7 linked regions of the Oryctolagus cuniculus genome follow. The protein of the gene in region 5 interacts with the protein of the main gene of each other region in a biochemical or structural test. Links are inferred from orthologs where the notes say so. Each region holds a gene or a part of one and is shown on either strand. Other genes may lie near its edges.

Region 1 (4,068 bases), on a different chromosome or scaffold from region 5:
GAGAGATCACACTCCTTGTGTATAGGAAGCCACCAAACTATTAATATAAGTAGTTTGATCAGGAGGGACAGCCAATCCAGGTAAAGTTAGAAGCTGAATTAGTCAAATGAGCCATCCACCGTGATCAGATTTTAGTATATGGAAAACACTTCATTTTTCCTGTACTGGTAAACCTACCCTCACCAGTCCTGACATCTCCCCTACAAATATCCAAATCATGCTGGTAACAGTGTGATTAGCATACGCGCTGACGTGTTCCTGGACTGCTTACTGTGCCACAGTGAACTTAACTTCTGCTTTGCAGCTTCTGTGTTATCAGAAATTCCGTAGGAATCTGAGTATATTCGAGCTTTCCACTTTTGGCTTTTTTTTTTTTTTTTTTAATACACAGGTTCCTTTTCTCTGACCAAAACATATTCAATAAAAAGGGAAAATGACAGTTTACAAAAATAATAAAGATAAAAGAACACAATCTCTCACCTCCCTGGTCACATTTCTAACCCCTCACATAAACCAACTCTTCTCTCCACGTTTAAATTTTGACTGCGTGTTGGCCAATTTTCCATGTATGGCTCAAAACCTGTTACTGTCTCCACTTGAATAGGCTAGGAAGTGAGCTCTGGAACAGGGGGACTGAGGGGGCACCCCAGTTCTTGCTCAGATGGAAGGAGGAATCTATTGTTCCCAACCCGTGTGGGTGTGACTCACGGAAAATGACAAGTACTTGCTCTAGGCGGTTAGTGTTTCAAGGGAAAATCATCCCCAGAGAGAGAAACCTTGAAGGATTACAGTATCCCAACGGCTGGTGACTTCCAGCCAGCCCCATGGCTACTTTTTTGCCTTTTCAAAATATAAACAAAACCAAACCCTGCAAGCACCCAGCAGCTGGCTATGGGTATTAGGGGGAGGGGGGACCGGTCCTGCAGCCCAGCTAGGGTGTCAGAGCTGGGCTTGTTTTTCTGGGGCGCGGGGTGTCCGTTTTTGATGAACCCACCGAGTTGTTTACGTCTGACGTCTTCGGAGGCCCGGCTTCTTGGGCGTCTGCTCCACAGAGCCGGCGTTCGGGGAACCGTCGGAACCGTTTTCTTCTGTTCTGTTGGCTCTTTTGTTTTGAGGGGAAGAATCTAAAGGCAAGAGGAGATTATTTAAAGGACACACACACACACACAATCTTCAGTAAAAGAAACAATGGCCGGCACAAGTTGGCCCAGTGGCCAGGGGGATGAAAACCCACCGCCTCCACGCACGGTCCTGGACGGGGCGGCCCCCAGGAAGGTGGTCTGCACCACACAGAAATGGGGCCCCCGCACCTTCCTCTACCCTGACCCGGTGTGTGTGTGTGGGGGGGGGTGTTGGAGGCCGCTGATCAACATCCCGACCTTGTCACCTACCCAGGGGTAGGAAGGAAAGGCGCTGTTTTCAACCTGGGCAAAACGATCAGATCCTACAATCTCCCGGCTTCTGCCTTTATAAACAGACCAGCAGCCTCCCGGGTAACATTCAAAAACCCGAGATCAATAAAAAAGTTCGTTCCCTCCACCCCCCACCCGCGCCCCGAGCTCTCCCATCAGAATAGGCTGGAGTTAAAGAGCCGCAAGCAGGCAGAGCGGGAGCGCGCACCGACGGACCGACGGACTGACGGAGGACAGAGGCGCCTTTCGGCTCCGGGAGGGTCTTTACCGTCTGTGGCAGGTCGCTTCCTCATCCCCGCGCACTGCTCGGCCAAGGCCGTGGGGCCGTCGGACTGCTCAGTCTTTGGGTCCCCCAGGTGCGTGTCCTCGGAGCTGGCCTGGGACGCGGCCACCGGCGCCGCGGGGCGGACCCCGCCGGTGTCCTGGCTTTCCTGCGCCGGCACCTTGCAGGCGCCCTTGGGCGGCCGCGGGGGTCTGTAATAGAACTCGGGCAAGCTGCCCTTATCCACCTCCTGCCATTCGTACTTGCCCTCCAGGGGCTTGTGATTCTGGAAGTCGAAATTCCACTTGCGCTGGCTCGCCTCCTCCATGTCTCTGCAGTGCTTCTCCAGGTCCCGGGTCAGCTCTTCGTGATTCACCGGGCCGAAGAGGTTTCTGCAGGCGGAGGGCTTGGGGTGCTCCGCCTGCCTGGCGTCCGTGCGCTCCAGGCTTGGGCTCCCGTTGGACACGCGCACGTTGGACATCTCGCCCCGTACCGGGTCTGGACCCCGCCGCCTCTTCTCTGGCGCGCGCTCTCCGCAAAACAAAACCGAACGCAGCCCAACGCTCCGACGCTGCGGAGCCCCGCGAATGCGCTCAGAGCCCGGGGAGATGGACCCAGACCAGTCGCCGCCCGCGCTCCTGGGGGCGCGCAGGGTGCGGGAGCCGAGCGGGGACGCCCCGGCCGCGCAGCCCAGGCCGCCGCCGCCGCTGCCGATCAGGAGTGCGGGCGCGCAGGAGGGCGGGGAGGGGAGGGGAGGAGCGGGGAGGGGTGACCCGGCCGGTCCGAGTCCAGGCCGGAGCGAGTCCGCGGGTCTCCGCAAGCAGCCGCTCTCCAAACCTTGCGCCGACGGAGCCGCGCCGCGGGGAGAGAGAGTGGAGAGAAGGGAGGGGGCGTAAAACACCCCGAAAAGACGAGCCCCCTTTTTTTAGTGGCCCAATATGGCGGTGGAAGGGAGGCTGACGAAGAAGAAGATGATTGACACGGCGAGTCTATTTAAACAGAGGAGGAGATCCATTGGTCGCGGCGCCGGGAGCCGCCCCGCCGAGGCTGGCGAGCGCGGCCTTAAGGTGGCCCCGGCGCGGGGGCCGGCGCCCGCCCGCGTCCCCGAGCGCCGCCTGCAGACGGGGGCTGCGCGGCTGCCAGCAAACCTGCTGCGCCGGCCGCGGAGAAATTAAAAAGGCGACGGGCCCCGAAGAGCCAAACGGCCGGCCGCGGCGCTAGGGAGGGGCCTGGGCGGCGGGCCGGGCGGGGCCGCCAGGGTCTAGGACGCGCAGCCGCCCCCAAGCGCCGACCTCCCGGCTCCTCGCCAGGGCAACCACGGGCCCGGAGCCCAGGGGCCCCGAGGGTCGCCCCCGCGCCTCGTTCTGAGGCCCGCCGCCCAGCTGGTTCTGCTGGCGCCCGCCAAGCCGGGGGTGGGGGTGGGGGTAAGAGCCCTGCCCTTCCCTTCCCCATCCCCCACCCCCCACCTCACCCCAGCCCAGCTCGGCTCTCCCCCGCAGCTCCCACTTCGCGGGCAGGCCCCCTGCCCGGGTGCCTTCGCTGGGGCTGTAGAGGGTGAGACCAGTGGTGAGCTCACCCCTCACCACTAAGTCCCAGAGCAGGCAGGGAAGGGGCTCGGGGAAGCGAGCCAGGGCAGACGACTTTCTCTAAAGTAGCCGGAAGTGGACGCAGCGTTTAGAACGCGCTTGGAACCCAAGTTCTCCCTCAATAGAAAGGAGAAAGGACCTCGGGATGGACAACCCCCGTCTGGCCTCGCCAGCCCCTACGTGCACTTTGTTGCTGTCCCTAAACCCGGCTTTTAAAAACCGAGGTTGCAGCCCCCAAGTGCAGGGAGGGACGGGTGTGGAGAACTGTTCCTATTTCTTCCACCTGGGCCCAGCCCCTTGCTTCTCCCGCGGGATTCGCTGCAGCACCCGACTCGGAGCTGTATTTGGATGAAGGCTGAACTCTCTGAACGACGTTCAGCTGCGTGCTTTTAGATGCCTGGGTGAAAACACTCCAAGTCCACGTGATAAAGTGAGTTCACACAGCCCTGTCCTAACACCCGATGTTATTCGGGCATTTCTCTCGGCTCTCCTTTGCAACTTGACGTTTACCTGCCAGGTTGGTCTTCTGCAGGTGGTGGAAGTTGAGACAGGCCGGGGGCAGGGCCGTCCCGTTGGAGACAGCTCAGTCTGCGCATCACCCATTCACAACTTGTGGCATCTTACTGTGGGATCAGTTAGTTAAGTCTTATTGGACACCGAAGCCGGCGCCGTGGCTCAATAGGCTAATCCTCCACCTTGCGGCGCCGGCACACCGGGTTCTAGTCCCGGTTGGGGCGCCGGATTCTGTCCCGGTTGCCCCTCTTCCAGGCCAGCTCTCTGCTATGGCCAGGGAGTGCAGTGGAGGATG
Region 2 (4,069 bases), on a different chromosome or scaffold from region 5:
TGACAGGAGTGTTCCAGCACAACACTGACAGAAACCAGCACCCCAACCAAGAAGCAGAGCATTTCCTGCATCCTGAAATATCTCTGGCCCCTACCAGCTGACACTAGCTTCACTCCAAACCTACCATTAATTTGTTTGGACTGTTCTTGAATTCCATATAAATAGACATGCACAGACTATATTCTCTCTTGAAGGCTTCTTTCATCGGACACTGTATCTACAAGATTCCACCCTATTATTATATCTACAAAACTGTAGTCTACTTTCTTTGTATTACTGGATGATATTCCACCATACAGAGTACTACAATTGATCTATTATTCTCTTGCTGGTGGACATACACGTTCTGATTACAGTTTATGGCTATCGTAAGTAAAGCTGCTACGAACATTTTTGCACATGTTTTTTGAGGGATACATGTACTCATTTCTCCTAGGAGTACAACTGCTGGCCATGGAGTAGGTACATGTTTACTTTGATAGATGCCATTATGAAAGTTTTTGAAAAGCTGTGCCAGTTTATTTACACTCACACCAGCAGTATAAGAGTTCCAGTTGCTCCACATTCTTACCAACAACTAACACTGTCAATAAAAAGCATTTATATGGCAAGTTTTAGCGGTATTTTATTAGATCCCTTCTATTCCTGGTTTTCTGTTGTTTCTTCCTCTTAATTTGAAAGGTACAGTGACAGAGGAAGAGGCAGAGACAGAAAGAGATACCTGAGGCTGGCGCTGTGGTGTAGCGGGTAAAGCTGCTGCCTGCGGTGCCGGCACCCCATGGGCACTGGTTTGAGTCCCGGCTGCTCCACTTCTGATCCAGCTCTCTGCTGTGGCCTGGGAAAGCAGCAGAAGATGGCCCAAGTCTGTGGGACCCTGCACCAGTGTGGGAGGTCTGGAGGAAGCTCCTGGCTCCTGATTGGTGCAGCTCTGGCTGTTTCAGTCATCTGGGGAGTGAACCAGCAGATGGAAGACCCCTCTCTCTCTCTGTCTCTCTGTAACTCTGCCTTTCAAATAAATAAATCTTAAAAAAAAATAAAAAATAGGTATCTTCCATCTGCTGATTCACTCCCAAAAGGTCTCAACGGCTAGGGTTGGGTCTGACTGAAGCCAGAGGCCCGTAACTCCATCTGCATCTCCTACAAGGGAGGCAGGAGCCCAAGTACTTGCATCATCACCTGCTGCTTTCCCAAGTGCATTAGCAGGGAGCTGGAATGTTAAGTGGAGCAGCTGAGACTTGAACTGGCGCTCTAATACGGGATGCTAGTGTTGCAAGTGGCAGCTTAAGCTGCTGCATCCCAAGGCTACTCCCTTGCTCAGAGTTTTATCATGAATGGGTGTTGCAACACTTTTACTGCATCTACTCATGTGCTCATGTGATTTTTCTTCTTTAGCCTGTCAATGTGGTAGATTACATTATTAGATTTTTTTAATGTTAAAAGCAGCTTTGCATATTGTACCTAGATAAATGTTATCTGATCATAGTGTACCATTCTCTTTATACATTTTTATTTTGTATTTCAGATAAGTCTTTAAAAATAATTTTAAAAAGTTTTATTTATTTATTTATTTGAGAGGCAGTTTGATAGAGAGAGAGTGAGTGAGAGAGAAGGAGAGACAGAGAAAGAGGTAACTGCTATCTGCAAAGGCCAAAGCCAGCAGCCAGGAACTCCAAGTTCCTGGGCTCTCTTCTGCAGTCTTCCAGGTGCATTCACAGGAAGTTGGATGGGAAGTAGAGATGGGACTCAATCCCAAGCAACAACTTAACCCACTGCACCACAGTGCTTACCCCGTTTTACATTCAAGATCTAAAGGCGCTCAAACATGAGCACCTATGTTCGTGAGAAATACTGGTCTGTACCAAGTTGTTCTTGTGGTACCTTTGCCTGGTGTGGGAATTAGGGTAATGCTGGCTCCACAGTGTGGGTTAGGAAACATTTTTTTTTAATTTTTTTTATTATTTTTTGACAGGCAGAGTGGACAGAGAGAGAGAGAGACAGAGAAAGGTCTTCCTTTGCCGTTGGTTCACCCTCCAATGGCCGCTGCAGCCGGCGCACCGCACTGATCCGATGGCAGGAGCCAGGTACTTATCCTGGCCTCCCATGTGGGTGCAGGGCCCAAGTACTTGGGCCATCCTCCACTGCACTCCCTGGCCACAGCAGAGAGCTGGCCTGGAAGAGGGGCAACTGGGACAGAATCCGGCGCCCCGACCGGGACTAGAACCTGGTGTGCCGGCGCCGCTAGGCGGAGGATCAGCCTAGTGAGCCGCGGCGCCGGCCAGGTTAGGAAACATTCTTTCTCCTTTTATCCTAAAGAAGAAATTAGAAAATGGGTGAAATTTCTGTCTTAAATGGGGCCTGGTCTCAAAATGTTTTAGAAGGCTGCTACCTACTGATTCAGTTTCTTTAATAAATACAGGCCTGTTCAGATTATCTACCGCTTTATGTGTGAACTGTGGCACTGTAACTTTCAAGGAATTATTCTGTTTCACATAGGCGATTAAACTGCGGGCATCAAGAGCTGTGCACAGTATTTCCTCTATTATCCTTTTTTTTTTTTTTTTTAATTTTTTGGACAGGCAGAGTTAGACAGTGAGAGAGAGAGAGAAACAGAGAGAAAGGTCTTCCTTTTCCATTGGTTCACCCCTCAATGGCCACTGTGGCCGGTGCACTGCGCTGATCTGAAGCCAGGAGCCAGGTGCTTCCTCCTGGTCTGCCATGTGGGTGCAGGGCCCAAGCACTTGGGCCATCCTCCACTGCACTCCCGGGCCACAGCAGAGAACTGGACTGGAAGAGGAACAACTGGGACAGAATCCGGCGCCCCAACCGGGACTAGAACCCGGTGTGCCAGCGCCACAAACGGAGGATTAGTCAAGTGAGCCACGGCGCCGGCCTCCTCTATTATCCTTTAAATGTTCATGAAATCTGTGGCGATGCCCTTTCACTGCTGATACTGTAATTTTGTTTAATCTCTCTTTTCCTTATCCTGGCTAAAGGCTTATCAATTTTATTGATATTTTTAAAGAAAACCAGCTTTTTGGTTAATTTATTTATTTGACAGGCACGTGCGCACACAAACACACACACACACACACACACTCACAGAGACAGAGAGACAAAGTTTCCATCTGCTGGTTCTCTGCACAAATGCTTGCAACGGCCAGGGCTGGGCCTGGGGGCAAGGTTGGAATCAGGGAACCTAATACAGGTCTTTCCTGTGGATGGTAGGAACCCAATTACAAGAGTCCAATCCAGGCACTACGATGTAGGATTTGAGTATCTTAACTGCTTGGCTAAATGGCCACTCTCCCAGCTCTGGTCTTACTGATTTTCTTGCCTATTTCATAGATTTCTGCTCTAATTTTTTTCATTTCTTTTCTTCTGCTTACTTTGGATTTAATTTGATCTTCTAGTTTACTCAAGTAGAAACTTTATTGATTTCACAGCTTTCTTCTCTAATACATGCATTCAATGCTATAAATTTCCCTACATCCCACAATTTTTAAATAAGCCATATTTTCATTTTCATTTGGTTCAAAATATTTTTAAAGATCTATTTATTTATTTGAAAATCAGAGTTACAGAGAGGAGAGGCAGAGAGAGAGAGGTCTTCCATTTGCTGGTTCACTCCCCAATTGGCTGCAATACCCGAGCTGCGCCGATCTGAAGCCAGGAGCCAGGAGCTTCTTCCGGGTCTCCCACATGGGCGCAGGGGCCCGAGGACTTGGGCCATCTTCTACTGCTTTCCCAGGCTATAGCAGAGAACTGGATTGGAAGTAGAGCTGCCAGGTCTTGAACCGGTGCCCATATGGGATGCCAGTGCATCAGGCCAGGGCGTTAACCTGCTGTGCCACAGCACTAGCCCTTCAAAATACTTTTCAAAGTTCTCTGACCCATATGTAACTCAGAAGGATGCTGTTTAATCTCCATGGATGCTCTGGCATTTTGCAACTATTTCTATTTTCCTGTTATTGATTTCTAGTTTCATTCCATTGTGGTCACTGTGATCTGAGAACCCATCTTCACCCCTGATAAGAGTCCTTATTCTGAAGTCTGCTCTCTGAAATTAATA
Region 3 (3,500 bases), on a different chromosome or scaffold from region 5:
TGGCTGCAGTGGCCAGAGCTGGGCTAGGAAGTAGCCAGGAGCTTCATCTGGGTCTCCCACGTTAGTACAGGGGCCCAAGGAGTTGGGCCATTTTCTGCTGCTTTCCCATGAGCATTAGTAGAGAGCTGGATGGGGAGTGGAGCAGCCAGGACTCAAGCTGGCGCCCACATGGGATGCCGGCCCTGCAGGTGGCAGCTTTACCCACCACAGCACTGGCCCCCGGGGTTGTATTCTTGAAACCCAGGCTGTTCTGGATTTGTTGTTTCCTAGCATGCAGTATCCATTGGCTATTTCTGTAAACTGCTTGATTTCTAACTCAGATAACCAAAGAATTGTGATATTTTTGTATCGTGGTTCTCCATATATCAGGCTTTAATTAGCATCTCTTGTACTCTGTCTGAAAATTTCTGTGCTAAATTATAATTCCACATAAATTAATCATATGATGACTTCACATTACTACTATGCTGACAGTATGCCAACTTGCCTAAACTTTTATTGTAATTAACTGGCTTTATGGAGTACCTGTTAAAAAGTACAATATTGAAAGAGAGGTGCGTGCATTTGTTTATGTGTATACACATACGTATATGCACACATGCATAGGTTATTAAATATAGTTATACCTTTGTTTAAGTGACTCCATTTCTGTACATAACACTGAGTGGTCTTCTCTGGTAGACCAAAGGTAATTAATTATCTTGCAAAAAGTTTTCCACTGTCACTTATCAATAATGGTATTAAATTGAATACTGGCTGGTTGGAGCACTTTGTATATAGAATGTGCTCCATAAATATGTGATTGATGTGGAACTCTGTACATATAAAGTCATTGAGAAGTGGTTATTTATATCATGTAATTCCTACTTAGCAACAAAAAAACCTCAAATTGTTGTTTTGCTTTATTCCCTATATGACCCTTGACCCTTTAAGTGATGGTTAATGTTAATCCTTGTCATAACTTTATCGTTCTTTGATGAACTTTTCTCCAGATATCATAATTTAAGTTTCTTGTGTGACATGTGAGGCTACTTGAATCAGCATTGTCAGAGGCTTCCATTTTCCTCTTCCCTTTTCTTTTTTATTTAAATTGACTTTATGCACATTAAAAAAGATACTATAAATAAACTTTTTAAATCACAGAGCTAGCTCAAATATGCAACTCTGTGTAGCCCATCAAGAAAATCTCTATAAGCAATGTAAAGTAATTAGAATCCAGTTATATATCTACCTCTTAGAAATGATATGAAGGGCCGACGCTATGGTGCATCGGCTTAACGCCCTGGCCTGAAGCACCGGCATCCAGTATGGGCGCTGGTTCTAGTCCCGGCTGCTCCTCTTCCGATCCAGCTCTCTGCTGTGGCCTGGGGAGAGCAATAGAAGATGGCCCAAGTGCTTGGGCCCCTGCACCCATGTGGGAGACCCGAAAGAAGCTTCTGGCTCCTGGCTTCGCATCGGCACAGCTCCGGCCGTTGCAGCCATCTTGGGAGTGAACCAGCAGATGGAAGACCTTTCTCTCTCTCTCTCTCTCTCTCTCTCTGTCCCTACCTCTCTCTGTGTAACTCTGACTTTCAAGTAAAATAAATTAAAAAAAATCTTTAAAAAAAATAAATGACATGAAATTGAACCACAGAGAACCTGTAGAATCTTATTATCAGACCATGAGGCAAGCATTCAGGTGGTGTTCAGTGAATGTATACTGTAGAGGGAGAGAGTAATTTTAAACAAGTAATACAGTTAAATTATTGAGCTGAAGCTCACAGAGGAAAGGAAAGAGCAGAGACTGAGGCGTTAGTTAAGTGTTCTTTGAAGAGGTAGCGTTAGGAAAGTTCATAAAAACCAGGATGGTGCTTGTTTTTAGTCTACTGCATATTTGTTAAGATTGAAGATACAGGGCAGGCGTTGCGCTTACAGCAGGTGAAGCTGCCATTAGGGAGGCCCACGTCCCATGTCAGAGTGCGGGTGTGAGTCCCGGCTGCTTTGCTTCCAGTGCATCCTGGTGGCAGCAGACAATGGCGCACATGCTTGGGTCCCTGCCACCCACATGGGAGACTGCTGGATCTGGCTCCTGGTTTCAGCCTGGCCAGCCCTGGCTGTTGCACACATCTGGGGAGTAAACCAGCAGATGGAAGATACTTTCTGTCTTTCTCCCTCTCTCTCTGTCTCACTCTGCCTCTCAAATGAATAAACAAACTTTAAAAAAAAGATGAAAGTTACTGTCACATAATTTTAGAAATTATAATGTCAAGTTACATCTATATGCAAGTATTTTATCCTATGGATAATAATGCACTTGTTTCTGTAAATTGTTCTTTAAAATGTGGGTATACTATGCGTCTCTTCTTTTTCATAGCTGGCACTTTACGTGCTTTCATTCCTGGAACCCAAAGACCTGCTACAGGCGGCTCAGACGTGCCGCTACTGGAGAATCTTGGCTGAGGACAACCTTCTCTGGAGAGAGAAATGCAAAGAAGAGGGTAAGACTCAAAGCTGCATGGAGCGTAAATCGATGCTTCGGAAAAGGAAAGCGATGCTGAAAACAAGTAGGGAAAATAAAAATGAGTGCATTTGATGTGCAGGTAGAATAAAGTAGTGGGTCATTGAGAAAAGGAGAGAGAGAAGTTTGACACCCTATAAAAGAATGGGTCTTCATTTAAATTCACCTACATGAGTTCAACAATGAAAAAGTCAAGATGAGGATAATTTAAAGGAAACCCCAAAGTTATATTATCAATTAAGTACCCAACTATTCAGTGATTGTTTGTTCCTTCCATGAATATTTATTGAATGTCTCCAGTGAGCTAGACTGTATTCTTAAATGCTGGTAAGACAGCAGCGACCTGCCATTTTCTTCCTGTCACGGAGCGTGTATTCCTGAAGCCTGTGTTTTTGAATACCCTGTCTCAGTAGAGGAGTAGACCTTGCGCATACTAATTCAAGGGAGAGCTCTCCGCTTTCCAGCAAACATGTAGGAAAATAGCATTTTTGACAAAATATTACTTGCTTTAGAGAGGCAAAACTTTTGAGAAAGAGTCATAGAACATGACCCAGGTAACTCTGTGGGTGGTCCTGTCTTTCGTGGTGCTCAAGGTCATGTGGGGAACGTTGACAGTTAGGCCAGGTTGGTAAAGCTTTGAGGAGGAGACCCCATATACTAGGTTTCTGATCCTGCTTCTACCCTGTCTAGGGCAAGGAGTAATCTGTGAAACCTTCCTTCTCAATTATCTGTATACAGAACGTGGGGTTCATAGCTCTGCCTTACCTTTACCATAGAGTCCGTTTTAGATGTCTTTTTACAAAGTGGTGACAAAGCCATAACAAAATCTGTCATGTAACCATCTGGAAGTGGTGCCGGGTGCTTCACGTTTTGTGCAGGGTCACCGCCATGCACCTCTAGAGCTTCTTCCTCTTGCCTAGCTGAGCCTCCATACTTGCTGTGGGCAGCTCTTCCCCCTCCTCCCCCGAGCCCCCAGCAGCCACCCTTGTGCTTTTTGTCCCCC
Region 4 (4,210 bases), on a different chromosome or scaffold from region 5:
AGAGACTGCTTTGTTTTTGCCCTCTCTCCTCCACTGAAAACAGAACACACAGCATGATTCCACCGGGACTGGAAACTCCGCGCAGCTATCCCGAGGTCTGGAAAGGTAACTACAGTTCAGTTTAGTGTTCTCTCTCTGAGCGGAAGGCTTATTTTGTCATTTTATTTTTCTTGCCTAGTCACTGTTTTTTTCCTCACAATGTGGATTTATTACTTGCATAACTTTTAAAGTCTACATCTATTAATAAAATGAACTTGCAACATAGCCAAAGCCCATCTGAGACCTAGGTAAGTATACCATTTGGAGAAAAAATGGTCACAGAAACACTCTGCCCTTCGATTTTATTGCTATTTCTAAGAAGGAGGTTTGAACAAGGGATAGATACTTATGAGTATACAACACCAGGTATATTCAGGAATCCTATTTAAAACCGATCTTACAATAAGGCAGACGATGAAAGTTTTCTTTCAAAACACCAGGCATGGAAACAAGGTAAAAGTAGGACACATAAAAAAGAAAAAAAGTCCCTGGTATCCTGTAGGTCTTATTAGTTCACTCCATCAGCATTTACTCTCTCTCACTTAAAAGAATGCTATCACATGCACTGGTCACATTTCTTTCCAGAAGTGACATAAAGAACTTGATTGGGACCTTTGGTAATTAACACAAGCCTCACAGCTGAGAAAACTAGAAGAGACTTAACCACAGGAAAAACAGACTTCAAAAAAAAATCAGAAAACTAAGTAACAAATATCTACAAGTTTTTTAAAGCTAATTAAAATTGCAGAAGGCCAGGCAATAAGCTTGAGAACAGATTTTGTATGACAGCTGTAAATAAAGTTTCACTTTAAATTCCTAAAATTCTCTTTAGGTAAAAAAAGCAAGCTCTCAATTCGGTGGCCCAGTATTTCAACTATCGTTATTTGTGGAATTAAAAAAAAAAAAAAGCAGTAAATTTGTACCTAAAACCGTTCGGCTTCCTTCTTGGATCCCAACTGTTGAAGAACAGCACTAGATACGAGACTCCCTGTTATTCAGAACGGGAAGTGCTGCCTTCAAAGACGGGGCTACTCTGAGACTGGTGCTTACTAAACTACTCCACGGGGTCCGCTGGAAACGGAGTCAGGACACAGGCCACGACACACTGCTGATCGGGGACCCAGCGAGCCGCCTGAGGGATTTCTAAAAAAGTGCCGAGGGACAGGCAGGAAAGCAACAGCAACTGCTGCTCGCGCAGGGAGCCGGCGTCTTCGGAACGCCGCACCGGATCAAGGCATTTTTATTCTGCAACCACATCCCTTGCCGCCTCACCACGATTTTTCCCTCAATAAAAAGTTTTGATTTCCTTAAAGAAAAAAAAAAAAAACACCTGCAAAACCCGATGCACAGGCTTAAAGGAGCCGCGATCACCGAATTCGGCCAAGCCTCGCTTCCTGACCACGGAGCAGGAGAGCACCGAGCTCAGACACAGAAAACCTCACAAAACGGAGCCCCGTCCAGGGGGACGCCCTGCGCTCGGGGGCTGCCCGGCGAGCCGCAGGGACGCGTGTGCGGCCGGCCGGAGCGGCCCCGGCGCTCGCCTGCAGCCAGCCAGGACGTCACCGCCGCCAGCAGCAGCCGCGCCGTCGGAAAGGGCCCACCCGCGCCTCTTCCCCTCCCCCGAGCAGGCAGGCGCTCGGCCTGCCGGGCGGATCCGTTTCTCCTTTGACTCGTGCCCGCTTGGGGCAACCGTACACCCAGCTGCTCGCGGGCCTGCCCTAGTCCCTCCCCAGACCGGCCCGGAGCACCCAGGACCGGGCCGATCCCCCGCCACTCCTCCTCCTCCCGCACCCGCGCCCGCCCCGCCCCGCGCGGGAGGCAGCCCGCGGCCGCCGGGCCCGGCGCGGCAGGCATCGGCCGCGAGCCGGAGGCCCCGGGCGGCGGCGGCAGGCCTGCGCCATGGCCGGGGCCGGGAAGCGCCGCCCCCGCGCGCCTCCCCGCGCCCGGCCCGGCCCGGCCCGGCCCGGCCCGGCCCGGCCGGCGAGCGCCCGCCCGCGCACCCTGCATCCCCGGCAGGGGCGGCGGCGGCCGGCAGGCCCGCGCGGCGGCCACGCTCACCTGGATGACCTCGTTGACCTCCCGGATGCACTCCACCATGTGCTGCAGGATCTGCTCGGCCGTGAGCACCTCGTAGCGGTAGTCCTCCTCCTGCTCGTGCCCAGGCCCGCCGCCGCCGCCGCCGCCGCCGCCGCCACCGCCGCCGCCCGGCCCCAGGGCGCTGCCGCCGCCGCCGCCCGTCTCCCCGCACAGCAGTCCGTCCCGCTCCCCGCCGACGCCCAGCCCGGGCTCCACCAGCTCCACCTCGCCCAGGTCCAGGTTATCATCGTCCGGCTCGTCGTCGTCCTCGTCCTCCTCCTCCTCCGCGCCGCTGTCCTCCTCGCTGCACTCCTCGTCCTCGTCGAACTCGTAGTTGTAGCCCTCGTCCGAGTCCATGGCGCGGCGGACGCTGGCCGAGGCGGGGAGAGGGCGGGGACGCCGAGGCCCCGGCTCTCGCTCCGGCTCCGGCGGGTGTCCGGGGCGCAGGCCTGGCTGCGGCCGCGCGGGCCGCGGCTCCTCCCCGGCGCGGCGGCGGCGGCGGGCGGCTGGCGGCGGGCGGCGGGCGGCGGGGACGGCGCGCGGGAGGCGGCGAGGGAGGCGGCGAGGGGCCTGTGGCCGCCCGCCTCAGTCAGACGCCGCTCCGCTCCGGCCTCCGAGAGAAAACAGCCCCCAGCGCCACCTCCACGGCCGCTGCTGCCGCTACTGAGCCAACAAAGGGGCGTGCGTCACCGCGTCGCGCTGCGTCGCGCGTCACGCCCGTACGTCACCGCGCCCCGCCCCGCCGCCCCTGCGCGCCGTGTGCGGGAAACCCCGCGGCCCGGCCCGCCAGGTCGGCGAGCGCCGCGGCGCCCCAGGGTCCGTGGTGCGGCCGAGCGGCTCTGCGGGGCCGGGGCCCGTGGGGGTGGGGTGGGGGCGCCTCCCACGAGACGGCTGCGGCTCCGTGGCCCCGGCGGCGGCTGTGACCGCGGGGGACCCGTCCGTCCCCTGCGCGGTCCAGGGGGACCGGGCGTGACTCCTGGCAGCCGCGGCTCTGGACTCGAGCCCCCCGGGCCCCCGGGCCGCTGAACTGTGGGGGTTGGGGGGCGCGGGATGCTGCGCGCGCGCGCGCGTGGAACCTACGCTGTGCGGCAGGTGCAGCTCGCGCCCGTGCCCCCGACGGTGACGTCACGCGGCGGGCGCTGCCTGGGGCCCGAAGCTCCGAGTTCGCCTGGGCTCCGCTATCTGCGCGCCGGACGGGGCCCGAAGCCAAAGGGGCCGGGCAGGCCACGGAAGGCGCTCCCTGTGCTTGGGGGGGGGTTGCTGGACAGGCGTCAAAACGCTTTGTAAGGACCCGGTGCGGTACGCCGGGCACCGCCCCACAACGCGGCGCCGGTGGGGGCGCGGGCACCTGCGTCCTGCGCGCCCAGGGCAGGCGGGGTGCGAGGGAGCGAGCAGGACAAGCAGGTGCACTGGCGAGGTGCTGGCACGGCTCCGATGCCATCCTGCCAGTGGACTTGGCGTCTTTGTAAACAGGAGAGCCGGGGAAACACGCGCAGCCCAGAACATCCTATCAAACGCCAGGCGCTCGGTGTCACCCAGCAACCCGTGTCGCCCCCTTGGTAACTCCCGTTACACCTTTGCTGGTTTCCCCCAACCCTGCTCACAGCAGAGAAATGGGGAAAACACAAGGACCAGGAGCGAAGCAGTGGAAGCCGGCCGTTGTTGCAATGGGAAGCGTTGCAGGGTTTTAGAAGAGTGAACTTGGGATCTGTGTTCCCGAAAAGAACCCTGGCTCCTGCGTGCAGAATGGGCTGTGAAGGCAGAGACCGGTTAGGAGCCCGTCTTAGAAGTCCAGGTGACCACAGGGCCTTGAGCTCGGGCAGTGGCAGGGCAGGTGATGAGAAGAGACCGGATTCTGCCTTAATTTGAAAGGGGGGCCAGCACCATTGGCTGCGGGTCTGGCGGTGGGGAGGGCTCCAGGATGCCTGCTAGACTTGGGGTTCATCAAAGTTTGGTGGGGTTCTGAAACCAGTGAAGTGGCAGGGGCTTGTTGGGTATGGAAGTGACGAGTAGGCCGTTCCCTGTACTAATGTCCACGTTTGAGTTGTTCCTGTAAACAAGGTTGAGAAGCGGCACCAGCCTTCAAAGCCTGCCT
Region 5 (3,500 bases):
CCCCTTTGCAGTCGGCCATTTCCAGGGCTATGTGTGCCCCGCTGTGCTAGTCCTACAGGTGAATCCCCTGCTGCCCCTTGCCTTCAGTGTGCCCTCATCAGGCCAGTCAGTCACTTTGTGGTATTTGCCAGCCATATTTTCTTGGTAGCATTTGTGTGGACTAGAAGCAGAAGAGTTCAGCATTCCTCATACTTTGTAGGAATGTTTCTATGAAGAGCTAAATGTGGTTGGGGCTGGCGCTGTGGCACAGCAGGTTAATCCACCACCTATGACACTGGAGACCCTTATCAAAGCTCTGGGTCCAGTCCTCGCTGCTGTACTTCCAGTTCAGCTCCCTGCTGATGTGCCTGGGTAAGCAGCAGCAGATGACCCAAGTACCTGGACCTCTGCCACCCCTGTGGGAGACCCGTATGGAGTTCTAGGCTCCTGGGTTCAGCTTGGCCCACCGCCACCATTGCATCTCTGTCCATCTCTCCTCTCTCTGTCACTCTGCCTTTTAAAAAAAAAAAAGAAGCTAAATATGGTCTCGCCTGGACCTTAGAAATAGGCCTAGGTGATTGATAGAATTTTGTTCTTAATTTTTAAAAAATTTATTTTTATTATGTATTAAGGACAGAATAATGGAGAGAAGAGAGAAAAACAGATCTTCATCTACTGGTCTATTCCCCAGATGGTTGCAGTGACTAGGGCTGGGCTAGGCTGAAGCCAGGAGTTCCATGCAGTCTCCCACGTAGGCAGCAGGGATCCAAGTTCAAGCACTTGGGTCCTCATCTGTGTGAAACACAGCAGCAGGGACTTGAACCAGTGCTCCAGTAGCATTGCAGGCAGCCGCTTAACGCACTGTGCCATGATGCCTGGCCCCTCGTGGGGTTTCCTGGCAGTATTCTGAGTATGGTTTTTCTGGCTCCTCTTCTGCATGTTCACTCCGTGATCTGCACTTCCATGAGGTGGCTTGGAGAGGAGTGACAACGGTGGTGTCACATGGAGCTCTATACGCATAACCAGGCATTCGATGGTGGGCAACTGAGGTCTAATATTTTCTCCGTCCATTCAATCCCATCGCGTGTGCTTTTGCACCAGGCTCTTGTGAGGCGGGCAAGGCAAGCATTGTCCTAGTTTTGAAGTTTGAGAAATCTGAAGTGCAATCCAAGTGAGAGCCAAATCTAAAGCCTGGGTCTCTGGGTCACTTGTTTAGTGCTTTCTAGAACAGCTTTTGCCTCCTGGGATTTATAGTGGTTTGGGCATGCTGTTGTCCTTACGTACATTTGCATTGCCGCTGTTCGACATTCTTATTGGTATTGCTCAGGTGGGAGGAAATGTCTCCACGTCATAATGAAATTTATAATCCAGGGCGGCGGCGGCGGTGGGGGGCAGCATTCTTTGAGAACCTGCAGTTCCGTTCTGTTTTGGTTCTTTTCCATGACAATTCTGTGGCCCATGAATGTTTGTTCTGTGGTTACATGATCACAGAACACTTTGTCCTTATATCCGAGTTCCAGGTTCTTTGTCATCTCTCGTGATTGGTTATACCAAGTTGTTTTTGCTGTTGTTCAAGTACCTGTTCTGAAACGCACTGAATATTTTTCAGGTGTGTGAAGTCTATAAGCTTCACAGGGAGACATTTTACTTGGCACAGGATTTCTTTGATCGGTACATGGCCACACAAGAAAATATTGTAAAAACACTTCTACAACTTATTGGGATCTCATCTTTATTTATTGCTGCCAAACTCGAGGTAAATCATTTTCAGTATTTGTTCTATAACAATGTGTTTCATGAGCATTGCTAAGATTAGGGCACAAGATCAACCACTTGTCTATAATACATATCCTACATTTGTCTACTTTGAGACACATGCCCAGAGGGCTGGAACCCAGCTGAGCAGAGAGGTGGAGTGAGTATATGGAATACTTGGGTTGATGCAGCTACCTTAACCACAAAATTGTGAAAAGACAGAGAAAAGTGAGCTTTGAACCACCAGGAGCCAGTTTTGAGGGTCAGGCGTTCGGCCTAGCAATTAAGATGCCAGCTGAGGCCCCCACATCGCACACTGGAGCACCCAGATTTGATGCCGATTCTGGCTCCTGACCCCAGCATCCTGCTGGTGCAAACCCTGGGATTTGTAAATGGGTTCCTGCCACCCACGCGGGGGACTCCAGTTTGGCCCTGGCCCGGCCCTAGCTGTTGTGGGCATATGGGGATTGAACAAGCAGATAAGAGCTTTTTTTCTCTCTCTGCCTCTCAGATAAATAAAAATGTAAATAATAACTGACCCTCATGGAAAAAAAAAAGTAAATTTTTGGGTGATTACAGAAGAGGCTATGGGCCAAACTTTCAGACATGTAGTTCAAAAAGATACTGAGAAGATGAGAATTTCAAACTCCAGTCATGAGGACAGGTCGGGTTTATGCGGAGAGAGTGTCCCTTCCTTTGCAGTGAGCGGATTGTGAGGCACCGGCGGGACCCCTGAACTGTCCCACAGGGAGCCCTCTCCTTCCGCGCCAGGCGGGTGCGGCGGAGGCCGAAGCTGTTTTGGAGATGGGCCTTTTGCTCACCGTCCCGTCCTTTCGTCCTCTTCTAGGAAATCTACCCTCCGAAGCTGCACCAGTTTGCTTATGTCACCGACGGGGCTTGTTCAGGGGACGAGATTCTTACCATGGAATTAGTGATTATGAAGGTAGGTTACAAGTTAAGTTTTCGGCCATTTCTTAAACACACACGTAATGTCTTTTCCTCGTGAGAGGGGCGTGCCTCTGGTGGGTGCTCGCCGGCTGGCCACACTGTGGCATGAAATGTGGCTGTATTTTGAATTTCTTTTCTCAACCGTGGGTCTCCTTTCTGTTTCCCTCTAGGCCCTTAAGTGGCATTTAAGTCCCCTGACCATTGTGTCCTGGCTGAACGTCTACATGCAGGTTGCGTACCTGAATGATGTGTGTGAGGTGCTACTGCCACAGTATCCCCAGCAAATCTTCACACAGATTGCAGAGGTAGGCGGCCACCCCGCAGCCAGGGCGAGGACCCACAGGGGCGCGTGCCGGCCGCCCACCTGCCACAGTGGTCTTTTCTTCTCCTTCTCTGTAGCTTTTAGATCTCTGTGTCCTGGATGTCGGCTGCCTAGAATTTTCCTATGGTGTCCTCGCTGCCTCCGCCTTGTACCATTTCTCGTCATCCGAGTTGATGCAGAAGGTGTCAGGTATGTTTGCCTCGCGGTGAGCTCGCAGGCAGGCTGTGTTGAACTTAGCACGCTCGGGCTGAGCCTGCGCCTTCTCTCCATTGCAGGGTATCAGTGGTGTGACATCGAGAAGTGTGTCAAGTGGATGGTTCCATTTGCCATGGTTATAAGAGAGACAGGAAGCTCCAAACTGAAGCACTTCAGGGGGGTTCCCGCCGAAGACGCGCACAACATACAGACCCACATCAACAGCTTGGATTTGCTGGTCAGTGCTCTCCCTGCTTAGTCTCCCACTCACTGTCCTCCAGGCAGGCTCCAGATGCCCCAC
Region 6 (3,500 bases), on a different chromosome or scaffold from region 5:
ATACAAAGCAGAGTGATAAACTACAAATGCCGTCTAAAATCCTAATGCAATGCCATCACAATTAACTGTCCATTATGTCAAAACATTTCATCTGAGGGCTTCATATTTTTTACCTCATCCTACCAATGGCAGACAATTATTTTCCCACTTAAGATGACTACTGTATTTCATAGAAAAAGCAATGAAAAAACCCTACTGGTTTACTCAACAAGGATGATTTTTACAATGTTGACTGTAAATAGCTAAATGTGACAGATTACATGATTTCACTTAAACTTCAAAAGCACTCATGAACCCTCACCCTAAATATTCACTTTAAGAACCTGTTACTTTTTCTTAATATTTATTTAGGCAGTTAAAAAAAACTAGGCCTTAGAGGTGAAATGTGCCTATGATACTGAAGGCAGACAGAGTGACTCCAGAACAGCTCTTCAACCACCATCTACCCAATTTTCCCTTTAGAAAACAGCTCTATGCAGGCAATCAGGGAGAGGCTTGGGGGATAACAAAGCATTGTAACAGTTTGGCTGGCAGAAAGAAACATTGCATGGGGGTAGACCCATTGCTTGCTCTGCAAGCCCTGAAGGCAGGAACTCATTTTCATCTCCTTCATGACATCTCCCAAGTTACCAAAGAATCGTCAGGAGAGTTCATGAAGGCAGGTTTTACACTAACTCTATAAGAATATAATGATCACAAACTGATTATTTTTAGCAGAAAATGGAACAGAGAGAAAACAGACATATGGAAATACTCTGGGAAAGGGTAGGGAGAGTTAAGCAAATATGTTCAACTGTTTTGGATGCCTTCCTGTGCATCTGAAAAAGTCAGGGGTGGGTGTCTGGCCTCTTAGGATGCCCACATTCCGATTTGAGTGGCTGGCTTGAGTTCAAGCTCCTGCACTTTTGATTCAGCTTATTGCTGATGTGCACCATGGGAGGTAGCAAGTGATGGCTCAAGTGTTTGGGTCCCTGGCAACCATGTGGAAGACCCAGAAGGAATTCTGGGCTCCCAGCTTTGGCCTGGCCCTACTCTAGCTATTGAAAGCATTTGGGGAAGTTAAACAGCAGATGGGGCTGGCACTGTGGCGCAGTGGATTAAGCTACCATCTGCAGTGCCAGCATCCCATATGGGCATCGGTTTGAATCCTAGCTGCTCCACTTCCAATCCAGCTTCCTGCTAATGCGCCTGGGAAAGCGATGGAGAATGTCCCAGGTCCTTGGGCCCCTATATCCAAGTTGAAGACCAGGATAAAGCACATGGATCCTGGCTTCAGCCTGGCCCAGCCCTGATGTTGCAGCCATTTTGAGTGAACCAGTCAATGGAAGATCTCTGCCCCTTTCTCTGTAATTTGGACTTTCAAATAATTAAATCTTTAAGAAAATAAAAACAAACAAAAAACCCCAGCAGATGGTAGATCTGTTGCTGCCTACCTTCCAGGCACCATTTTAAATTCTTTATACAATGGCCCTAAGAGGTATTGGTATCCCTACTTTACAAAGAAGCCTAAAAAGGGAAGTTATTTGCCAAGCTCCCACAGCTAGTAAGAAGCAGGATTCAATCCCAAATTTTCTGACTACAAAGGCCACACACTTCTCTGGCCAAAGTTGAATACTCCCAGAAATTTTTCTGCAAACTCCTGATATCTGGCTTAGTGCAGTGATGCCACACTCACATTTTCCTTGTTCTCATCCTGGTCGATGAGCTGAAAGATGTCATGGTCAAGAGAATCAGAATGGCTCCTCTTCAGAGCTGGGCTGCATCCCAAGAGCTTCGGCTATCAAATTGAAAAAAAGGAAATAATTAGGGTACATAAATAAAAATTCCATGGAAAACAGCTCTCAAAAGAAGTGAGGTGGGAGATAACTTCATCCCCAAATATCTGCATAAAAGGCCCTTTCCTAGCTCTGTGCACTGTAGGTTGCTGTGGCATGGCAGGTAAAGGCTGCTGCCTGCAGTGTGCACATCCCTTATGGGCAGATCCTGGTTGCTCCACTTCCAATCAGCTCCCTATTAGCATCCCTGAGAAAGCAGCAGAGAATGGTCAAGTGCTTGGGCCCCTACATCCATGTGGGAGACCCAGTTTCTGGTTTTGGCTTGGCCCAGCCCTGGCCATTGTGTCCATTTGAGGAGTAGACTAGCAGGTGAAAGATCTCTGTCTTTCCCTCTCTATAACTGCCTTTCAAATAAAATAAATCTTAATAAACAAAAACAAAACTTCATCCTGTTTTAATCAAGTTCTGCTAGTCAGATGTCTTCAGTGGGTAGCCCTTATTAAAGCTACTGTAGTCTCGAGTGCTTCTGAGACTGAAGAAAAGCAGTTTCACTTTCTACATTGAGGTCTATCAAGGCAAGCTGGAAGCTGGCAAGCAGACAACAGGTACGACCTCAAAATAAACAAGGGAACTAACTTACAGGCAGGGAATTTATCCTCTTCATGGGATTTTCGAGACTGTAATAAGATCAGAAGGTAAACAATGAGAATAAAGCAAGTAAAGATGTTCATTTTAACCTACAATGTGAGGGAGCAGTCAAACACATTCCTATTTTAGGAAAGAAAAGAAATAAATTTCTGATGCTATCCTATTTTTTTGTTTTTATTTTTTATTTTTTTTATTTTTTGACAGGCAGAGTGGACAGAGAGAGAAAGGTCTTCCCTTGCCGTTGGTTCACCCTCCAATGGCCACCGCGGCCGGTGCGCTGCGGCCAGCGCACCGCGCTGATCCGATGGCAGGAGCCAGGAGCCAGGTGCTTTTCCTGGTCTCCCATGGGGTGCAGGGCCCAAGCACCTGGGCCATCCTCCACTGCACTCCCTGGCCACAGCAGAGAGCTGGCCTGGAAGAGGGGCAACCGGGACAGAATCCGGCGCCCCGACCGGGACTAGAACCCGGTGTGCCGGCGCAGCAAGGCGGAGGATTAGCCCAGTGAGCTGCGGTGCCGGCCGCTATCCTATTTTTAGGAGCACCTCCAACACTGGGCTTCTAGGTAAAAAAGAAAATCCAAACCTTCCCTTAAAATACATTCTCTTAAGAATTTGACTAACACCAAAACAAGAGCTAAAATCTAAGGAGGGAAGTACACACTACTCGTGAAGTTTTTCCAGAATCCAGGGGTCTTTCTAGGAACAGCTAAAGCTAGGGTTCCAGTGCAGAATATAAAGAACTTCAGTAAAAAATTGAGGGACAGGCTATTGTAGCACAGTGGGTTAAGCTGCTCCTTGGGATGCCTGTATCCCAATTGCAGTGCCTGACTCTTCTGTGCTTCTAACCCAACTTCCTGCTCATGTACCTGGGGGGCAGCAGATGATACTTTGGCCTGGCCTAGCCTGGGCCACTGGGGGCATTTAGGGAGTGAACCTGTGCATGGAAGATCTCTCTCTCCACATTTCAAATAAATAAGTAAATCTTTTAAGAAGTTAAGAAAGGCTTTTTTTCTATGTATAAATTTAAAAGCAGTGAATACATACTTTTCTTTCCTGTCCAAGGGCCCAGGAGAATCCA
Region 7 (3,491 bases), on a different chromosome or scaffold from region 5:
AGACAGGCAATGCTGGTTAGAAATGGATTACAAAGGAAAAGGCAGTCTAGAAAGGATGTACACTTCTGAGACTCCTGAAGCATGAAGCCACAGGAAGCTCAATACCTACACGCACGGTGACGGTGTTGGGCAGTTTGCAGAACGTCGTTTCCACACCGATTAATTTAACGTCAAAGGCAAGATGCTCTGCCAGCCGGGACGCTGCGAGCCTGCACGTGAGGAAAGGCCTCCTGGCCTTTTGGTTTACAATTTCCCTTCTTACGGAAAACACAGTAAGGGGGAGTAGCGGGAAATGAAGCCTGGGGCCGATTCAGAGACGCAAAAGACGGAAAACGGCGACCAAGTGAAAACAGTAAACGCCGTCCCTTAAAGGGAAAGATTAACAGGAGCGTGAACGGGAGCTGGAACTCCAGATAGAGGAACCGCGCGGGAAAGGCATGGAGGCGGGGGGAGGCGAGAGGACCTCGGCCCCACAGGGACAGGCGTTCAGAGGCGCCGGCAGCCTGTAAATGGCGGGCCCAGCACCTGCGGTAGCGGCGAGGACCCACCCTCCCTCCCTAACTGGTGAGAAAAGGGGATTCATTGGGTTGAACTTCATTCTCCTTCTCGACTTCAGCATCACTAGTTCATCTTTGTGCCGATTAAAGCTAGGTCCCCGATGTCATGACGCCCGAGGCATAGGACTAGTGGCAGCCGTCGGGGTGCTCCTGCTGGTGTGCCTTGTATACGTACGTGGATGCGCCTGCACTGGCCCTTGGTGGTGAGCTAGCAGCCTAGCTCCTGGCAAGAGGGAGACGCAAAGACAAACCAGCCTACGGAGGGCGGCGAGAAGAGCCCGCCACGGCTCTTCATTTACGGGACGCTATGCACAGAACACAAGGCAGCTAGCTGTCCGCGACTGCGTCACATATGCGTCACCCAATCGAAGGCTCTACCCTACATCACCCTATTCCATTGGCCTAAATGAAAACAGCGCAGGAGCCAATCGCACGGCCACCTCTTCGCGCTCAGCAGAAGCAGCAACATAATCTACTTTCTACTTGCAGCTTTCGGCTGCGTGTTTAACTATGTCCGGACGCGGCAGGCAGAGGCGAGGTGCGCATCAAGGCCAAGACGCGGCATCCCGGGCCGGGTTGCAGTTCCCCGTGGGCCACGTGGACCGGCTGCTGCGCAAGGGCAACCGCGCGGAGCGGGGGGGGCGCCCGTGCACCTGGCGGCCGAGACCCTGGAGCTGGCGGGCTACGCAGTGCGCAACAAGACGCGCACCTGCAGTTACCATCCGCAACGAGCTTAAAGCTGCGCGTCGGCTTGTGCCCGCATCGAAGGCTCTTTTCAGAGCCATGGAAACCGCTCCTGGAGAGCCAACGTCCCCCGGGGCCAGGTGGCGAGGGCTACCCCCGACAGGCGAGTGGGGGGGGACACTACACTCCGTGGAATGGTAGGGCACTCGAAGCCCACATAGCTACGTGCGAGCCTGGCTGGACACGAGCGAAGGGTGGACAGACAGCTCTCTCCAGAGGTCTCTGGGTGGCTCTGAAAAGAGCCTTTGGGGCTTGGTCGGTGGCCAGACGGCGCAGCTTTTTACTTCTTCTTGGCGGCCGTCTTCTTGGCCTTCGCGGCCTTGGGCTTGGCGGCCTTGGGCTTGGGAGCCTTGGGCTTGGCGGCCTTCGGCTTCACAGCCTTGGGCTTGGCGGGGCTCTTGGCCGCCTTCTTGGGCTTGGCCGCAGCCTTGGCCTTCTTGGGGCTCTTGGCCACCTTCTTGACGGCCGCCGCCGCGGGCTTCTTGGCCTTCTTGGGCGTCTTCTTCACCGCCTTCTTGGCCCCCGCGGCCTTCTTGGGCTTCTTGGGGGTGGCGCCCGCGGGCTTCTTGGGCTTGGCCGCGCCCGCCTTCTTGGCCTTGGGCTTGGCCTCGCCAGACGCTGCCTTCTTGTTGAGCTTGAAGGAGCCCGAGGCGCCGGTGCCTTTGGTCTGCACCAGGGTGCCCTTGCTCACCAGGCTCTTGAGGCCCAGCTTGATGCGGCTGTTGTTCTTCTCCACGTCGTAGCCGCCCGCCGCCAGCGCCTTCTTGAGCGCGGCCAGCGAGAGCCCGTTGCGCTCCTTGGAGGCGGCCACGGCCTTGGTGATCAGCTCGGACACCGGGGGCCCGGCGGCCTTGCGCTTCGCCGCGCCCGCGCCCGGTTTCTTGGCCGCCTTCTTCTTGGCGGGGGACTTCTCGGCAGGCGCCGGAGCGGCGGTCTCGGCAGGAGCGGCTTCCGACATGGCGGCAGGAGTCGCTGCGGAGCCCAGAGCACAAGTTTTGGCGATGCCGCCTCGCTCGGGTCGGGGCTTATATAAGCCGGCGCTGCCTCGTGATTGGTGGAGCGTCCAATCCGCCGCCCTCGGGCCGCCGCCGCTCGAGGCTGCGTCTCCAGGTTGTGTTTGTTCGTCCCCGAAATTCGATTAAATGCAGAAAACATCGGCACGGAATTTGACGCTTAGGCGTTCCAAAGGAGGAAACCAGCCCCCAGGTTCACGGACTTGTTTGTGGGTTCGTCAACCGAGCGCAATGGAGGCGGGATATTCTTAAAAATCCCTGCGGCGTTTGGTGAGAACCCCTTGGGCTGACGGTATCCTGCTACTTAGTTGCAAGTTGCAATAAATTTCGAACAAGTATCCAGCGAACAGCGTTTAGAAGGGTTTATTCCTAGTGTCAGCCTTTGATTCCTAGAAGAGGAGCGGCGCTGGGTTCCTTGGTTTGGACGGAAACATTGTTTCTAGCTGTAGCAAGTAGCACAGGGAGTGCGCAGCTGGCTGTCTGCAGCCTCACGCCGGTCACACCGAACTGGCTGTAAAGACAGTTTATGGGGGCCGAGGAGGTCTTCAGGGAATGAGGTTTTCAGCTTGGGAAATCTGGGTTTTCAGAGCGATTGTTGCGAATAGCAACCGGAGGGTCAGAAAAGCCCTTGACTTTAGAATCCAACTCCTTGAAATCAAACTCTAAATTTTGTACATTTCCTAATTAGGATACTTACTTTAATTGCTGGTTTAAATCTATTAAAATAGACATGATATTTAACAGATAATTTGCATTACCAAAACAACCTCTCAAGTATGAAAAATGAACCAGGTCGCCTAGTAACCTAATAAGCGCACGAGTGCTTAAAGATGTAGGGTGATGTCTGGTCTCCGAAGCGTTCTTCCCAATGTCTGCACTGATTTCCGACAGCACTGCGTGAACTACATGATCACAAGTGCTCTTTTCTGTAAGCAGCCAGGGTGGACCAGTATGGGTGTTTTTGCAGACTCATTTTTTGGAAGACGAATTGGATACTGACTGTGGAAGGCTGAGCTGCAGTTTTCGAGAGGCTGAATGCTCTTACGGTTCAGAAAAGGATCCTGAAACAACTGAGACGAAGGCCATGAGGTCGGAATGAGGAGCGGGGTTTGCTCTCGAAGAGGGGGGAGCAGGCAGCATTTTAAAGGAGCTCAAGCAACTTTAGTTCCATATTGAA

The links.
Region 1: of the proteins of CCNE1 (region 5) and CDKN1B, one has a biochemical effect on the other in vitro, tested with the Homo sapiens proteins (4 studies listed by BioGRID, with this or other methods). The link is inferred for Oryctolagus cuniculus from reciprocal best matches to the Homo sapiens genes CCNE1 and CDKN1B.
Region 2: of the proteins of CCNE1 (region 5) and BTRC, one has a biochemical effect on the other in vitro, tested with the Homo sapiens proteins (2 studies listed by BioGRID). The link is inferred for Oryctolagus cuniculus from reciprocal best matches to the Homo sapiens genes CCNE1 and BTRC.
Region 3: of the proteins of CCNE1 (region 5) and FBXW7, one has a biochemical effect on the other in vitro, tested with the Homo sapiens proteins (18 studies listed by BioGRID and IntAct, with this or other methods). The link is inferred for Oryctolagus cuniculus from reciprocal best matches to the Homo sapiens genes CCNE1 and FBXW7.
Region 4: of the proteins of CCNE1 (region 5) and ARIH1, one has a biochemical effect on the other in vitro, tested with the Homo sapiens proteins (3 studies listed by BioGRID). The link is inferred for Oryctolagus cuniculus from reciprocal best matches to the Homo sapiens genes CCNE1 and ARIH1.
Region 6: the proteins of CCNE1 (region 5) and CDC25A form a complex in vitro, tested with the Homo sapiens proteins (2 studies listed by BioGRID). The link is inferred for Oryctolagus cuniculus from reciprocal best matches to the Homo sapiens genes CCNE1 and CDC25A.
Region 7: of the proteins of CCNE1 (region 5) and H1-5, one has a biochemical effect on the other in vitro, tested with the Homo sapiens proteins (4 studies listed by BioGRID). The link is inferred for Oryctolagus cuniculus from reciprocal best matches to the Homo sapiens genes CCNE1 and H1-5.

Annotation. Positions count from the first base shown.
Region 1 is NC_091440.1:110,363,029-110,367,096, reverse strand, and holds the start of CDKN1B (cyclin-dependent kinase inhibitor 1B), read right to left. Parts: upstream 2,801-4,068; 5' UTR 2,156-2,800; coding exon 1,681-2,155; intron 1,125-1,680; coding exon 1,003-1,124; 3' UTR 995-1,002; intron 1-994. UniProt on the Homo sapiens protein: Important regulator of cell cycle progression. Inhibits the kinase activity of CDK2 bound to cyclin A, but has little inhibitory activity on CDK2 bound to SPDYA. Involved in G1 arrest. Potent inhibitor of cyclin E- and cyclin A-CDK2 complexes.
Region 2 is NC_091446.1:28,367,130-28,371,198, forward strand, and holds the end of BTRC (F-box/WD repeat-containing protein 1A), read right to left. Parts: intron 836-4,069; coding exon 629-835; 3' UTR 501-628; downstream 1-500. UniProt on the Homo sapiens protein: Substrate recognition component of a SCF (SKP1-CUL1-F-box protein) E3 ubiquitin-protein ligase complex which mediates the ubiquitination and subsequent proteasomal degradation of target proteins. Recognizes and binds to phosphorylated target proteins.
Region 3 is NC_091439.1:12,199,196-12,202,695, forward strand, and holds part of FBXW7 (F-box/WD repeat-containing protein 7), read left to right. Parts: intron 1-2,353; coding exon 2,354-2,477; intron 2,478-3,500. UniProt on the Homo sapiens protein: Substrate recognition component of a SCF (SKP1-CUL1-F-box protein) E3 ubiquitin-protein ligase complex which mediates the ubiquitination and subsequent proteasomal degradation of target proteins.
Region 4 is NC_091443.1:110,729,969-110,734,178, forward strand, and holds the start of ARIH1 (E3 ubiquitin-protein ligase ARIH1), read right to left. Parts: upstream 2,801-4,210; 5' UTR 2,473-2,800; coding exon 2,098-2,472; intron 1-2,097. UniProt on the Homo sapiens protein: E3 ubiquitin-protein ligase, which catalyzes ubiquitination of target proteins together with ubiquitin-conjugating enzyme E2 UBE2L3.
Region 5 is NC_091449.1:26,428,976-26,432,475, reverse strand, and holds part of CCNE1 (G1/S-specific cyclin-E1), read left to right. Parts: intron 1-1,588; coding exon 1,589-1,735; intron 1,736-2,581; coding exon 2,582-2,677; intron 2,678-2,852; coding exon 2,853-2,987; intron 2,988-3,081; coding exon 3,082-3,193; intron 3,194-3,279; coding exon 3,280-3,437; intron 3,438-3,500. UniProt on the Homo sapiens protein: Essential for the control of the cell cycle at the G1/S (start) transition.
Region 6 is NC_091441.1:100,778,504-100,782,003, reverse strand, and holds part of CDC25A (M-phase inducer phosphatase 1), read right to left. Parts: coding exon 3,467-3,500; intron 2,453-3,466; coding exon 2,416-2,452; intron 1,778-2,415; coding exon 1,676-1,777; intron 1-1,675. UniProt on the Homo sapiens protein: Tyrosine protein phosphatase which functions as a dosage-dependent inducer of mitotic progression. Directly dephosphorylates CDK1 and stimulates its kinase activity. Also dephosphorylates CDK2 in complex with cyclin-E, in vitro.
Region 7 is NC_091436.1:169,837,342-169,840,832, forward strand, and holds H1-5 (histone H1.5), read right to left. Parts: upstream 2,316-3,491; 5' UTR 2,260-2,315; coding exon 1,582-2,259; 3' UTR 501-1,581; downstream 1-500. UniProt on the Homo sapiens protein: Histone H1 protein binds to linker DNA between nucleosomes forming the macromolecular structure known as the chromatin fiber. Histones H1 are necessary for the condensation of nucleosome chains into higher-order structured fibers.